Linked DNA regions of Struthio camelus. The protein of the gene in region 1 binds, or shares a complex with, the protein of each later gene. Links are inferred from orthologs where the notes say so. Each region holds a gene or a part of one and is shown on either strand. Other genes may lie near its edges.

The links. Proteins that work in one complex are often made in the same cells at the same time.
Region 2: PIGA (region 1) and PIGP share a complex: the UniProt entries of both Homo sapiens proteins name them as parts of the glycosylphosphatidylinositol-N-acetylglucosaminyltransferase (GPI-GnT) complex. The link is inferred for Struthio camelus from reciprocal best matches to the Homo sapiens genes PIGA and PIGP.

The regions. Positions count from the first base shown.
Region 1 is NC_090942.1:139,536,212-139,544,242, reverse strand, and holds the start of PIGA (phosphatidylinositol N-acetylglucosaminyltransferase subunit A), read right to left. Parts: upstream 3,082-8,031; 5' UTR 3,004-3,081; coding exon 2,241-3,003; intron 1,700-2,240; coding exon 1,567-1,699; intron 1-1,566. UniProt on the Homo sapiens protein: Catalytic subunit of the glycosylphosphatidylinositol-N-acetylglucosaminyltransferase (GPI-GnT) complex that catalyzes the transfer of N-acetylglucosamine from UDP-N-acetylglucosamine to phosphatidylinositol and participates in the first step of GPI biosynthesis.
Region 2 is NC_090942.1:122,278,162-122,285,902, forward strand, and holds the start of PIGP (phosphatidylinositol N-acetylglucosaminyltransferase subunit P), read right to left. Parts: upstream 3,001-7,741; 5' UTR 2,772-3,000; exon of another isoform or gene 2,558-2,771; intron 2,433-2,557; 5' UTR 2,414-2,432; coding exon 2,332-2,413; intron 1,084-2,331; coding exon 1,011-1,083; intron 462-1,010; coding exon 343-461; intron 1-342. Other genes in the region: E3 ubiquitin-protein ligase TTC3, read left to right, coding at 3,959-4,033, 5,385-5,430, 6,663-6,795, 7,211-7,298. UniProt on the Homo sapiens protein: Part of the glycosylphosphatidylinositol-N-acetylglucosaminyltransferase (GPI-GnT) complex that catalyzes the transfer of N-acetylglucosamine from UDP-N-acetylglucosamine to phosphatidylinositol and participates in the first step of GPI biosynthesis.

The sequences.
Region 1 (8,031 bases):
TATAGTTCCCATACTATGCACATATATAGAGAGAAAAATAACACAGACACCTCTGTTCTAGTTTCTTTACATTTTTGCCAACAATAAAAAAATTCAAGACTCTGCTTTTTATTTTCACACACATATACACACATAACACAAAACTTACAAATATGAAGCTAGGGGAAGGGTTTTTCCTGTTCTGTTTTAATGGCAACTGCTTTCCAAACATTGCTACTATGCTGTCAGAACATTGCTTCATGCAGTTAATAAGATTTGTCATCATTTTCTTTGTTTGGATGTATTATATAAATTTGCAATGTCAGGTCTGATCAATTTCAAAGCCTGAGGGGAAAGAAGTGTTTAGGACATCAATAATCAGGACTTGTTATTTTGAGGAGAGATTGGAAAATCAGAGGAGGGAGAAGGAAGAATAATACTAGCAGGCAATTTTATCTTCCATGCCAGGGGGAAGCAAAGGGAGGAATCATTAGACTGAAGAACAGAACGGGCAACAGAAGATAGAGGCCCTACAGTGAGAGATGCAGAACACTGGATGCAAGAGAAAACCGGAGAGTGTAAGCCTTCGCAGTAGTGGCATTTGTGAGGATGGCTGCAAAGTTTCACAATGGAAGGCTGCTCAGAGCCTCTCCTCCCCACTGAACTGAAAGAAGCAACAAGCAGGGAAATTTCTTGGATAGTGTTCAGGTAGTCACTACCCATTTACACATTTACTTCAAAAGAACTGAAGTAAGTTTTTGTTTGTCCATAGATGTTCCAAAACGCACACTGTGAACCTAGCACTCTAGAACATACAGCAATAACTAGATACAGCTAAGGATATCCTAAGGCTGATGAAGGCTAAATTTCCAACTTTTGGTAGGAGGGAGTAAGGAAAACTGTTTTGTTTTTAAAAGATGCACCCCAAATACTTCAAAAAAAAAAAAAAGAAGAAGTAAAAAGGAAATGGAAAATTAAGAACCTTGTATTTGCTGTACAAAATTGTTTTTGAACAACTACTACTCATAAAAATCCCAAAGAAATATATAGACACATATATGTCATAGAAACACTTTGGTAACACAGTAGCACCATGAAAACGCATACTAGATAACTACTATCCTGAAAAGTTTGACCTAAAAATAAAAAAATGCAACAAAGCAGAAATGGCAACAAGAAAGAAGATTCCAGAATTACTAGCAGTCATCCTCATGAGCAGCAGTCACACCAACTAGCTGTCTAACACCATATAGCACTATATGGTAATATAGCAGAGGTAACCTGAACATCACGATTTCAGAGAGGAATATGAATAAACTTATGTCTAATTCAGATTTTCTCTGAATCTGCTGAAGGTTCCCACAGGGTCTATTCATAAGAATCAGCCTGCAGGATCATGGTCCAACTTTAAAGTGATCAATCAGTGTGTGCTGCATCTGCCTTGCCCTCAATGATTCTCATCTCCTCCTCCAGTCTAAGTTTTTTGGATTTCTTTCTTTGGCAGAGAAGAGGGACAGGAGGAGAGTTGCTGCTGTCTTCCCCACCCCTAAAATACATTAAAAGACCATAAACATGCATAGAACAAACCTGTCATGTAGCTGGTATCTTTCCCGGACTTCTTCCAGAACGATTCGTTTTGGTCCTTCTCCTCCAACTAAGAAATGTAAATCTGGATATTTCTGACAGAGCTCAGGAATTATACCACTAAGCAAATCTATACCTAAGAGTATAAAATTTAAAGTAAGTTGTTATTGTATTTCATTTTAGAATGGTAAGGTAGCCTAGTGCTATAAGTCTATTTGGGAGGAAGGGAAAGGAGAGGAAAAAAAAAAAAAAGCCATGGTCTCAGAAGGACAGCTGTATTGCTGGACATAAAATTATGAAAAAAGGCAAATTCTAATCTATTAGGAGACAAATGTGGAAGGAAAAAAACCACTCAAGTTCTTGTTGCTTGATTAAAAACAATTGTAAAAACACATTCTTAATAGAATGCATAGTTTGGGCCCTAAACTTGGTTCCCAGTATAAGCCAAACCCTCCATTTTACAATGGCAAAATCTTCAGTTTTTCAAGATCTTCATTGGAAGACATAGACCTCAAAACCCCAAGTGTGCAGACTGAAATTTCTTCTTCTTGAATGCATAGATAGAAAAATTCAGAATCATCACCTCACAATAGGGAAATTCCCATTTCACAGTTAATCCATACCACAGATATGGATATCAAAAAAACAAAGTAAACTTACATTTCGGCCCCCATTACCTTTTCTGTAAACAAGTCTGCTGACAACAACAATCGTTATTGTACTATCATCCCTTCTTGATGGGTCTGGAGTGAAGTCGGTGGGGTCTACAGCATTGGGAATGACAGAGACTATCTGAGGATCCAGAGCTGCTCTCAGCACTGTGTTCTCCTTACTTGTATAAGAGACACAGATTATGTGATTTGTATCACAGAGGGACACAGTCAGAAGTTTGTTGGTTAGCACCGAGCTGACATCTGCAAACCCAAAGAGAGAGTGGTCCGTGAACACCGTCCGCAGGCCCATGGTCTTGGCGTGGAAGAGCGCGTCGTGGGCCATGGCAGAGAAAGAGCTGTGGGCATGGACGATGGTGACCCTCTCTCGCACAAGGATGTACCTGAGCAGAGGCAGGCTGTGGAAGAGCGTCGTCGCCGTGGACTGGTTGTACATCACCTTCAGGGGCAAGTAGTAGACCTTCAGCCCGTTGGTGAGGTAGCGAATGCCTTTGCGGGCCCCGTAGGCGTGGGTGACCACCAGGACCTTGTGGCCCCGCTCGATGAGGCACTGCGACAGCTGGTAGATGTGGCTCTCCACGCCCCCCATGTTGGGGTAGAAGAAGTCCGACACCATGCAGACGCTGTGCGCCCGCCGCGCCGGCCCCCCGGCCGCCATCCCCGGCCCGCGCCTGCGGGGGCAACCACGAGGCGCCGTCACTCGCTGACAGGAGCCCCCCCGGCCGCCCTTACCGTCGGCTACCCCCTCGCCGCCGCCGGGCCCAGCCATGCCGCCGCCGCCGCGCAGGCCACGCCGCCACCCCGGCGGCACCAACGACGCCAGCCGAGGGGCGGCCCCGCGGCCCCTTTAAGAGGGCGATCACCCCGGGCAACCGGGCCCGCCTCGAGGCGGTTGGGGGAAAGGGGGGGTTGAGAGGCGTGGGGCCGCGCGCGCGCGCGCGCATGCACCTACCTGCCGGCTGCCGGCGCGTCTGCAGGCACCGCCCGGGCGCCCTGCCGTTTCCGGGCACGGCAGCCGTCACCACGGCAACCGCGCGGCTCGCCTCTTCCCTTTTCCCGGCGGCGCGTCAGGCGGGAAAAGAAGGGGCCAATGGGAGGGGCCTGGGGACGGCTGGGAGCGCGGCGGAGAGCAGGGACGTGACGGAAGCGCGCGCCCCGCCCAACGCTCGCTTTAACCCTTCGCTCGCTGCCAGGGCGGGCGGGGCCGGCCGTTAGGCGCCGCGTGCCGGAGACGGGGGGGAGGGGAGCGGGGTCATGGCGCGGCGGGCAGGCGGTTGCGGACTGCCGGTTCCCCCTCTTCCCCCTCTTCCCCCTCTTCCCCCTCGCCTCCCTAATAAATCCTGGTTCTGGCTAGAGCCGTTGCAGTGTGAATGTGCTTTGGTTTCCTTCACGTCCCCTTCTCAGTTCCCTCCGTGCTTGCTTGCCCTTTCCAAGGGTAGCGCTGCGTTTTGCTGCCCTTGGTCACCTCCTGAGCAGGGAGTTGCCTGGTGTGAGCTGGTCAGCAGCCTGTTGCACGCTGTTCCCTTGTACCCAGCCGGGCACCTGCCAAGGAGGGCTACCCCACCTGAGGTGTGGGGAGCCTGGGGTGGGCAGGTGTCCTGCTGAGGCGTGCAAGTAAGTGCCTTGAGCTGGGAGGCCTAACCTCAGTATTTCTGCTGTCCCAGTTAGGCTCCCATGCCCTGGTGAATGGGATGCTGCATCCAGTCCCCTAAACCAGCGTGGAAGCCACTGCAATGGAAAGCCTGCCTTAGTAGGTTGGTGTTGAAAGACAGTGGACGCACCCAGCCCAGCCCTGTTAGTCAAAAGTCTATGAAAGTGAGCTGCACGCTGTAAAATAACAGAATTGTTTTGAAACTTCTCAGGCTGCTCCCCGCCCACCGCAGCGGGGAGGCTTTTCTGCTTTACTCTTTGGCTTTGTTCATCACAACAGGAACTCTAAAGATGTGCTCAAGTCTTTGCCACAAGTGCTCAAGTCTTTGCCACAAATGCTTGAAACTTGCTCTTGTAACCAAAAATAAAAATACCATCATTCTTATAAGCACTCTAGGAGTTTTAACTTTGAGAAACAAAACTGAATACTGTAAGATTTGCTAAAAAACCTGAGCTGGCCTTGCTTGGCTGTGTATTTCCAGTCTCCTCAAAACGGTTTGGAATCAGCTGTCACCAACTCCTGCACTGGCACATCTGTTACTCCCTGGCAAGAATGGATGTTATGTGGTGTTCATGTCTTTCCTATATGTTCCTAAAATTACGTTTGGCAGCTACTTCTCCCGAGTAAGATTTCCGATACGAATTTTGCCTGATGCAGTCTCATCATCACTCCTGTGCAATTATCTGTGGCACAGATAATAACAGTACTAACTGACATCGACTAAAGTGCTGATTGGATCATAGGTTGGATTAAAACTTGGACAGACCAAGCTTGAAGGTGGTGATCTAGAGAAAGACGGAGGAAGAAATCAAGCACTTCATTTTGGGGACTGGAAGTGCTGAAAGGGGTTGGTGTGCTGAACAAGAAAATCACTGCTGGTTGTTTGATTTTCTGCTGTGTTCAGAGAGGCAAGACGGGTATTGCTGCATCTGACTTCATCATCAAGCGCTCCTCGTAGGTGGAATGCCTGGCAAGGATCCGCATTTCAGGGTGAGAAACTGAACATAAGGCCAGAAGTGGTAGGGCTGCTGACCTGCAGCGGCAGGTATCCTGCTGTGAAGCAAAGATCCAGGGGACCAGTGGGCCGTTTGGGTCCTACTTCTCAGTAGAAATGGGATCCTGGATGTAAAGCAGTTGCCTTGGATTAAATCTAGGAGAGACTGAAGTAGTGCCAATAGAAGGAGGAAAGCACCTTGAAGTTCTCAGCTCCCGCACCCCGCCACATGATCTTTGGTAATTCACATCAGTAAGCTGCCTCAGGGTCAGACTGCCCTGAAGAATCAAACTGTAGTAGTCACCGCATTTTTAGCTGTCAGAAAGAAATACTTTTGTTTTTACTGATCTGAAAAATGATTTATTTTCTTCTTAGACTGGCTACTATTGCTGACAAATTTCTCGTGTGCTGTCTAGAGAAACTGTAATTCTTTGTATGTGATCTTTGCAAAATCCACAGAGAAATCCTTAATTGCCATACAACATAGCTGCCCCTCTATTCAGCAAAGGAAGTGGAATTTGCCATGGTCCATAAGCTGTTGCTGACCACTGTGCAAATTCAGGACACTGACACAAAACCTTCCACAGGAGAGAACCATATTATCTCAGAAACCTCCCTTTCTGCCACAGCAGCTATGATTTCGGGGCTGTCTGTATTTATCTGAACATTGGACAGGATACAGAGCTTTCTCAGCAGTTGGCCATAAACTCTGGAATGTCTTTTTAAAGGTCAGGAAAAGTATTACGGCTAAGTTTTCCTGCCTTTGACCTCTGCACGTTAACTGTGATGTTCTGACATCTACATTCTACATTAAACGTATCTAGTTATGTTTAATGTCATATCTTTGGCACAAAACAATCCCATATAAACCAGCAGCCTCCTTCCACTGTCATCTTTAAATGATCCTGAAAAATTTATGTCTACCAACAAGCTTAGGAAAAATCGTAAAAGAAAGGAAAGGAATCGTTGCTACTGCATACTTGGCAAATATATTGATGAATTTTCTATCCACAGTTGTTTCACAAGGACCAAGTACCTCACATTTTCCCTGTCTATGTTGTTGAGTTGTTTATTCATAAAGTTGTAACTGATTCTGGGCGGATCCAGAGTCTGCCCTGCCCTGATAAGAGGTGAAATGGTGAAGGGACCAACGGATGAAGAGAGAATCAAGTTTGCTTCCTTTCTAAATGCCAAAGCTTGATCCGTTCATTCCCTCATTTAAAGTACATACAAGGTCAAAGTAAGACTGTGGGATATGTAAAGTAGAGAGTAAAGATGTTAAATCAGTGACAGCAGAAAAATTACTGCTTCCAAGCCTGGTTGTAGAATGCTCTCTAAAGCACCCTCATAAATTGAGTTAATGGAGAGAGAAGATGGAGACTTAAAGAGACTCCTGTGGCTTTGTACTGCAAGCAGATGTCATCTTGCCTCAAGGAGAGCAGTTCAGTGTTCTTGAAAATAAAGAAAAACGTTATGCCAGGTACTGTGCTATATCATTTCCCGCTCAGCCTCCCCTCATGCTGAGCTCTGTTAGGCTGCCCTCAACATGGATTCCATGACATATTTTCCTAGAGCGAAACATACCAGTTTGGTGGAGTAGCTTTTCTAGGTGGATAAGCTGATATATTACAAGTCCTGCAGAGATCATTTAACGTGCATACCCTGTTTTTAAAGAAATACTAGGTGAAATCTGTATATTTAACAAAATTTTGTATGTACACTTCTGTGAGCCTCATAAAACAAAATCACGAATGCGGAACTTAATTTACACATTTGTTTATAGGTGGTATGTCTAAAGCACATGGTTTTATTGCCTCAGAACATCAGTAATTTACAAAAAAAGGTGATCAGTTGTTCACAAAGTAGTTCACAAAAAAGCTGCCAAGTAGTGCTGTTCCAGAGCCTGATACCACGATGAGGTAGGTAGCCATGGTGCTGCTGGAAAAAAAGTGTCAGGAAGTGAAAGAGTGATGGGACAGTGAATACACAGCTGGCTTAAAGTGAAGGAAATTGTCTTTCCCTGTTCTGAGGAAAGTAGAAAATACTTTAAGCTCCAAATGGAAAATATAGTGAAAAATAGTACTACTAGGTGGAGACTCAGCGTCTGTAGTTGTAAGCATGGAGCAAGATCAATTGCTGAAACTAAGCAAGAAGATAACCCGGAGCAGCCCAGCACGGAGTTTGAAAAAACATGGTGTTTTACTCCCTGATCATAATGGAATTACATGTGCTCTGTTGTGAGGATGGAATTAGTATTTGGAGCCTTGGTTCTGAAGGAAATGAGGAACGCTCCTTTCATTTTACCTGCTTTTATATACTAATTAAGACTGGAGAGCCTATCAGTTCTTCTTAGACTCCTACAAATAGGGAGTGAGGGACCAACTGTCTACTTCAGCAGTTATTTTTCATGGTCGGGAGTAAAAATGATGTAACAGGTTTCTTTAATACCTTAAAAAGGTTGATACTGTCTGGTTTTTATTGGTGTACAGTCAATCCCTTATCTGGCTGCAATACCACCCAAAAAGCAGCCAAGAAAAATGATGACTTTCTTATTCAGCCACGTAGGTTTTCTTACAGACGAGCTCCCTTACTGATGAAATCCTGCAGAAGCTGGTTGAGATGACATGTTAATGTGCTTTTTAAAATAAAGCTTTCAAGGTGAAAGGTTAATAAACTGCAGTGCAGTCCATGAAGGGAATGACTATTAAATGCAAGCTGCAAAAAATGGCTTCTTATCTTCAAGTCAGATTTCTCTCTTCAGTTCCAGAAAGTTGTTTTTCCATTTTGCAGGCACATGTCCTGTCCAAGCAGGATATCCAAGGCAGATGAGTTTGCTAATAGAAGTGAGAAGTTGATCAGCAATTCTTTGTCTCTCTCTTAGGTTTCACATTTGTATTCTGCCCTTAATGCACACCCTGAGATCTTGTTCCCTCAGTCATCCTTTGTGGACCTTTGTGAACTACAACTCTCTCCCCATTCAAGGGCCCAGGTTTCCTTCTCTCTCAAATCAGGATAGTGAAGAAGAGGAAGAGCCTGTGCTTGTGTCTGCCAGCACCTGTGTCTCACTACAGTGTGGGCGAGGGAGTAACCGGGGAGCTTACTCAGGAGTGGCTTCTGGGCCCCTGAGCTTTCTACACATGGATCACGTCTCT
Region 2 (7,741 bases), about 17 Mb from region 1:
TTCCACTCCTCACTCGTTTGTAATGCACGGTACAAGCCGAAGAGACCTTTGTGTGCCTATGTTCCTTTCCTCTCATGATGCCCCTTTTATTAACAAACTACACTTTCCTAGTTGGAAACTACTGCCGTTAAGATAGTAAAGATGAAAGAATCAAGCTCATGGCTATCTTTTCACCTCAGTACATAAGTATTTCCAGGAACTCCTCTCCTGTTTAACTCACCTGAAAAACTAGGGGCTTAAACTTTGAGTCATATTATTTAAACTTACATTTACATATATATATATGTGTACATAAATTGTCTGTTAAGTGTCAAAACCCTCCAAAAATAACAATAAAATTACCTGTAATAGTATGTGTAGAGTTGAGTGGAGCTGTACTCATCATATTAATACCAAAAAGCAAGATATAGCCGATTGCTAGAGTAACTAGTAGATACGCAGGCAATGCAACTGCCCAGTACCTGAGAAATAAGATTTTAAAATTTACTTATCATAATAACAAAATGTCTGGTGACATAACATTTTTAATGTACTGGCTGTTATTGTATACAGCACAAACTTAGCTGGGACGAAAAGAAACACCACCACTAAATATGGACCCTGGTTCCTCCCAGGAAGACTACTAACTATGGAGTCACTGTAGCCAGCCTGTTATAAACAGTCACACAAACTCCTTATAGATGGCTTTTGTTTTTTATATACAATTTAAAATTTATTGTATTTCCATCGGCAAACTTGGTTAAGACAGAATTCCTAACTTATCACAAAACACTGAAATAAATACTACTTCTTTCATTACACAACAAAATATTTTTTATCGTAATTACTTATCGGTATAAAGTAATGCTTCACAAAAACGATAGCCCTTTATCATCAGGAAAAATGTATCAAATGCAAGGCCACCATTTAAAAGATACATGTATAGTTTCGCTATTTGCTATTTGAAATTAATTCAGGGTGTTATAAATGTACGTCTATTCAGGCTTAAGAGTTTAATTGTTTGAACTTACTTTTGAGGCCAGTATGTTAGTCCCAAAGAGAATAGCCAAGTCTCAGGAACGTATGCCCAGATAAGATACAGAACTGCACAAAGAATTAAAAAATCAAAACAGTGCAACCGATACTGTTTTAGACTTCTTCCTTAAGTTTTAGAGCAATACTTCCATACTGATACATACTGTGATAGTGTTTCACTTTCACACAATCTATACCCAGGTAGCTCTAGCATGACATTGCAGAATATATCGCTCATACACAAAACTTGCCGAATATGGGGACAATGTTTTGTACCTCATTATATGCTACCATTTTTGTGTTTAACATTTAGTTTTTGATTTCCTGTGTAGGCAAGACAAGAATTTCATGCAGTCTTGGAACTACAAAACAAAAAGATTCTGCAAAAGCACGCCAAATGACTCTCTGCATACAGACAATATTAAATTACAAAGTGATTATACAGTGGGTCATACGACTAAAAGAGGTGGTAGAACGGCAGGGCTTGGATGGAAGAACTGAATTCAGAAAAAAATAATTACTGAAAATATTTTCAGTCTCTTGGTAAGTTTAACAGTGATCTTCATGTTAACATAACCAACATTGAAAATCTTTCTCCCTAACAACAAATTCAGAGTAAGGTTTAACAAGAACTGAGATGAAGAGTTTAGTAGCCAAACAGTGACACAAAATCTGGAACTGCAGAGGCTTGCTCTGTAGAACTAACACTGGGAAAAACGGAAGCCAACTTAGTTGCATTGCCACTTACCTCCAAGAAACACTGAAGACTTACATAAGAATCCTACTTTTTTGTTCAACTACAATCTATTTGCAATACCTTTTCATTTGTTGAAAAGGTGTTCTCATTTAATTCACCCTTTCTAGGCTATCTTAGTCCTGTGTGGGCATGTAAAACATCCCCAGAGAAATGCTACAGCATCTGTCACATCAGCAGAGAAAGCTGGTAGGGCTGGTCATTTTCCTTTGCTGTTAACCAGACGCGCCTTAACCTTTAATATCCAGGGTTTGGGCACTTGGGGGGCTGGGGTGGGGACGCTGCGGTTACACAATAGCAACTGTATGTGTAATTCAAGTAAAAAAGTTACTAAAATTAGAATGCCGAGAATTTTTTAAATAGGCACTTAATCCCATAGTAGTATTAAAGACAGACAAAACATGAAAGGATCACAAAAGGTAATGCTAGATTCTCAAAACATCTCACAGATCTGGCAAGAAATTGTAATCGTCACCCTTTTGAGATGGTCCAACTGGAATTACATTTCTCTCCTAAGCAGAACAATACTTTCCAGTGAATTATTCAGTACACAATATACTTACTAAAGCCAAACCAAGATCCTAAAAAAAGGGCAAAGCCGTATATTGCTCTTTCTGGCAATGGGGCTGGAGAGTTTTCAACCATGCTGGTCTCTTCCCTTTAACTTCGGGGGGGAAAACAAAAAGAGAAGTATTACAGGTTTGCTTGGTAAGTCTCGCTACGAATTACACGCAAGTGCGGGGATCCGGGGGGGGGGGGGAAACACGACAACACAAATCACTTATTTACCTCCCATGCAGACGTGACGCACCCCACACCAACCGGCGCCGGTGGCCACCTCCCCCCTCCCCGCACGCGCCTGCCGGTGGCGGGAGAGCTGCGCATGCGCTCAGCCCGCAAGGCCCCGCGCGCCGCTCAACGGTCGGCCGGGAGCCGCGGCGCTGCCGACCCCCATCTCCCACAGCCCTTCCTTCCTTCCTTCCTTCTTTCTTTCCCCTGCTACCTGCCTCGGCCGGCTAGGCCATTCCGCCCCCTTCCCTTCGCGTTCCTCAGGAAGGAAACCACACCCAGGGCGCCCTTAAGGACAGCAGGAAAAGAGGCGCCGACCCGCCTGACTTGCCCCTCCCCTTGGTCGCCCGGCGCCGTGTATCTGGCGCATGCGTAATCGGAAAAAGCGCGCTTCAGCACCGCCTCTCCCGCTGCCAGCTCCCGCGGCAAGCAGACGCATGCGCAAAAGCTGCGAGTTCGCGGCGGCCGGAGACCTCTAGCCCAGCGTTGGCTCTCTCCCTTGACGTCAGAAGGCAGCCTGCCAATAGCGGGGCCAGGGCGGGTGAGGGGGGGGGGCTGGCACGTGCGGGGGGAGGGGCCAGCGTTGGGCCCAGCGGCGCCGCGGGTGGCGGTTGGTCTCGCGCTGGCCGTGGCGGGGTCCGGTGAGTGGCGGGCGTTGAGGCCGGGGCGGGCGCTCCCCTCCCCCTCTGCGCGCGGTGCCAAGCTCGTGCCCCTCCCTTGCCCCCGGCCTCCGCCTTGGGGCCGGGAGGGTGACGCCCGGCCCGGCCCGCCTGGGGCGGGCTCCAGCGCAGCCAGTGCGGGGGGACGGGAGCGGGCAGGGCGGTGTGGCCTCGGCTCCGTGGGGCTGCGACACGTCGCTGGTGAGAAGCGCGGCTGCTGCTGGGGCCGGGAGGTGGCGGCGAGGCGGCCGGGCTCCGCGCAGCGGCCCGCGGGTTGCGGTGGGGGGCGAGCTGGCAGGAGGGGGAGCGTGGCTCTGGGCGACGGGAGGCCTCCGCGGTTCTGTCACGCGGGGTGTTTAGAGCCGCTGTCTTTGGATGTGGCAAATGGGGCTTAGTTGCTGTTGCACCCTTCCCCGGCTGGTAGACACTGCCCTTCCCTTTCCTGCCTGTTAGGCGTGAGGCAATAGGAGTGCTGTCAGGGACCAGGCGCTTGCAAAACTGTTGGAGTTGTTAGTCAGTTTAAGTAGTTTTTAACTTGAACAATTATCTAACGCTTTAGGATGCTTTTCTTAAGTTTAACTATGTCACGTAAAAATACGAGTGCATGTTTTCTGTGAAGCTATCACAAATCGTAATGTCATGTTGTGATCATTTTATTTCCTGTAAAGTAAGTGCATTCCTTTCCTCTCTCCCCCACCCGCGTGTGGTTCTCATAATCTTTTTTTTTTCAGTATTATGCACCATGGCTGAGCCTATATCCGAATCTGAATCTGCGGCCATGGCTTTTTATGCTGGTGATAAATCTTGCTGTGAACTGGTAAGTAGGTTTGGAACTAGATGAAAGGCTTGCAAGATGATCCAATGGGTTTTATACCTAGGTATCATCTATAGACTGATTATTGATCTGGATGAACTTTAACTAATGCAAAGATATGCTATACCACTGTAAATTATTCTCTTGCAAAATGCTACATCTGGGTAGAGCACAGAGACTGCATATCCTCTATCACACAAGTTTTACTGAAAAGGTATACAATAAATAAGTAAAACTAGACAGGAATAGATAGATCTTGTTAACACAGTTTTACTAATCTGCTGGCCATGCGTCCAGGCTATGTCAGATGGTATACCTCACAGTAGTGAAATCCATGCTGTGGAGTGAATGAGACGTTCGCAGTGATCCTTCAAGCTGAACCGATTTTGAAATAATTTTTTCCTTCTTTGTTAGTGAGTGGCCAGTTTTGTTAAATATGTTGATAATTTATTTTTGAGAACAAGCCTCAGTTTGCATGTAAAGTTGCAGCAGTTTAGAAATACTACTTTTGATGAGGTCACATGATTGCTTATCACCACTTCAGGTCAAGTTGTCATTGCACAGTATATCGGTATTTCCCTGAGGTCTGCCACTGCAAGAATGAAAGTCTTTAAAGGAAACACTTTCTTGCAGACGTTTGTTTTCATACTTCTTTTTCTAGTCGTATCCAGAAATAACTTTTAGTTTCTTTGAAATTATAATACAGCTGTACATACAGACAAAATACTTACTATTTATTAACAGACATGTACATTATTTTTATTAAAACAGTAGACTTTGTAGGGCTCTGTAAAATGGAACAAAGCCGTGTAATTACTCTTCAGCTCTAGCGGCTGGCATGGAGCACTTCTTTTAAAACTCATTAAAGTTCCATTGGTACAGTGTACTGCTGTGAAATAAATAAGTGAATCAACCTGTGAAGTAAATAAATGAATCAACCACTTTTATTTACTCTACGTACTTTGATATATGTTTATTCACATATATATGCACATACTATTAAAAAATTAATTAATATTTTGAAAACCTGTTATCTTAAAAATGTCTTCTGTAGGTATTCTTGGATATTATGTCACTGTCCATTAGCCAGGTTTGAGTGATCTATTTTTTACAAGAATGCTATGGTAGTATAATTTAATATATTGTTTAAGCTATTAATAATTGTGAGTGGCTGTGAACATTTTTAATTTATGGGTATCTTTTTCAGTTAATGGGCATATAGGTAAACATTTTTCTCATATGAGTGCAAATAAACCATTATGCTACTTAGAAACAGTTAAGTAGTTGCTGCTTGCAGTTGATGTAATGCATTTGTGGGATATGTAATGTTAATAATTAATATGCTTATCATTAGGGTCATGGAGTATTTGTACAGCGTTCTTCACGTAAACTTAGAACAGGTATGTAAATTAAACTAATCTTGCATAACTTTCTCCTATGTACTTCCTGTGCTGTATCTTTGGATTGCTATTTCACTTTTTTCCTTATTTTGTCTCCATATATGTATAAAATTATTTGGTCTCTTCTGAGTGGAAGTATTGCTAAATTTTGAGTTGGAGTAATTCTCATCTTTTTATTGTAATGTAATATGCAGGAGAATACCATAGGTTTGTGAGAACAGTGTGAATACTTGGTTACACTTCCATACACGGTGTCAGTTAATGTTAAGAGAACAGAGATTTTAAACTTTGTTGATTACCTGTGCTCTAATCATAGCTATGTTTTAGCTATGTAGGTCTGAGTACATGCTCAAGATGATCTTTGTAGGTAGAGTGTTGTAATTATAGATAATCTCCTTTCTCCCCCTCTCCCCCCCCCTCTCTCTCTGTTTTGTTTTTTGGGCTTTTTTGGATAGTTGCAGAAAAGTAGATAGCTACACAATACGCCAAGTTCTTCAAAATTATTCCATATACAAAATGAAAACCTACAATACCTAGTCTGTAGGAAACTCAGGTGAATGCAGCTGCCTATGTAAAAGCAGGTTTCGTATATACACAAAACTCTCAGATGCTACTGCTTCTCTTCTGTGGCTACTTGATACCATCTCAATAGTCAAATGAGGATTTTTGCCCGTAAAATACAGTCTCCAAGGGAAATGGGTCATATTTTTGAAAGAGCCACATATCATAAAGAACGGACTCGGGAGGAAAAATAAAAATCACTGCTGAGTTTATGTACCTTGTTGCTACATGCCATGCTACTGTGAAATTATGACAGAAAATAATTAAACAGGTGCAGCTAGAAGCAGCCTATGTTTTGTCTTGAAAGTAGCACCCTTAATAGCCTTTAAACAGCTCACAGCCTTTGTTAGGCTCCTCATTAGAAGCAAGCAGCGTTTATTCAGAGTAATGCAGAACACAGACCACTCGCTCATTGACGAAGGAATGCAAAACTTGCCAGCAGTTCTTTTGTCTCTCCTCAGTGTAAATTTCCTCTCCTCCTTGGATTGAAAAAAAAAAAACCCACAAGTCATCATTTATATTTAGAGTTTTCAAGTCACCTCGTTCTAGTTAGATAATACACAAGAATACACTATGGAAGGAACTGATGTTTTTGAATGTTTAATTGGACTTTGATTATTTGTAATGCCGGAATTGGATAGTTTAGTTCCTAACTATTTTTTTAATTAAAGATGTTGATCCCTGTGAAGCGTGGTGCAGTCAGCCAGTTGACATATTAAGAGAATATTGCAACATTATTAAAATACGCATCTTTTGGCCACTTCTCTTCAAAAGCGAGAGCAATTCTTTGGTAGCCGATTGGAGGTAAGCAATTGTGTTCTTGAAGTGGTTTGTTTGTGTTTTTTTTGTTACCTGTGAAGGGTTGATGTGCACTTTCAATAACAGATAAACTGTGGAAACGCTAAACTATCTTAGCTTATTTAGCTCACTGATGAAAACATTAAGGTCAGAAAACACAGTCCCTGAAAATAGGGATGAAAATATTAAGAATAGGTTTCTGAAGCTTGGAATGTAAGCATGTATTTAAGGACTTAAGTGGATGCCCTGTATTTTAAAAGTACCACACGCTCCTCAGCTATTCTTGATTTTCTTTCTATCGAGAGCTCGGTTTGAGTTTGTAACCGTTGTCTTGCTTAGATCTTAGAAGCATAAATATTAGTAGTTAAAACCATGTAACATAGTGTTATTTTTCTAAATAATAACTTGTTTTGTTTTTAAGCAGTTCACAGATTTTAGACCAGAATTGGAAGAGGCTCTATGATTTAGAGTTTTTGGAAGACCTTGTTGATTTGATTAAAAAAGTTGCTGTAAGTATCATCTTTTAACTTTGTATATGTTTTCAAGTGTAATAAGCTATTTAATTCTTTACTTTATGCAGTTTGCGATTATATCTTAAATTGGACATTTCCTTTTATTGGAGGGAATAGACTACCTGACAGCCGGCTGAGTTCCACTTTTGTAGAAAGGAAGTGTGGTATCGTGGCCTTTATTATACAGTTGGGATAACTTTTGTATAGTGCATAATGCATTTCACCAGGACCTTTTTAGATTGCTGTATAAGAAACTGTCATGAGACTTGTATCAGTGAGGCAAATGATACCTTTCCCCGATTAATAAGCATTTATTTCCTCAATTGTTTTACCCTTGTTCAGTAAATGACATTTAAAATTTACTATTGTTGTTGACTTAAAATAGCTGCATAACAATGCAGAGGAGAGAATGATATAACCAATGTTTTTAGTGGTCAGAG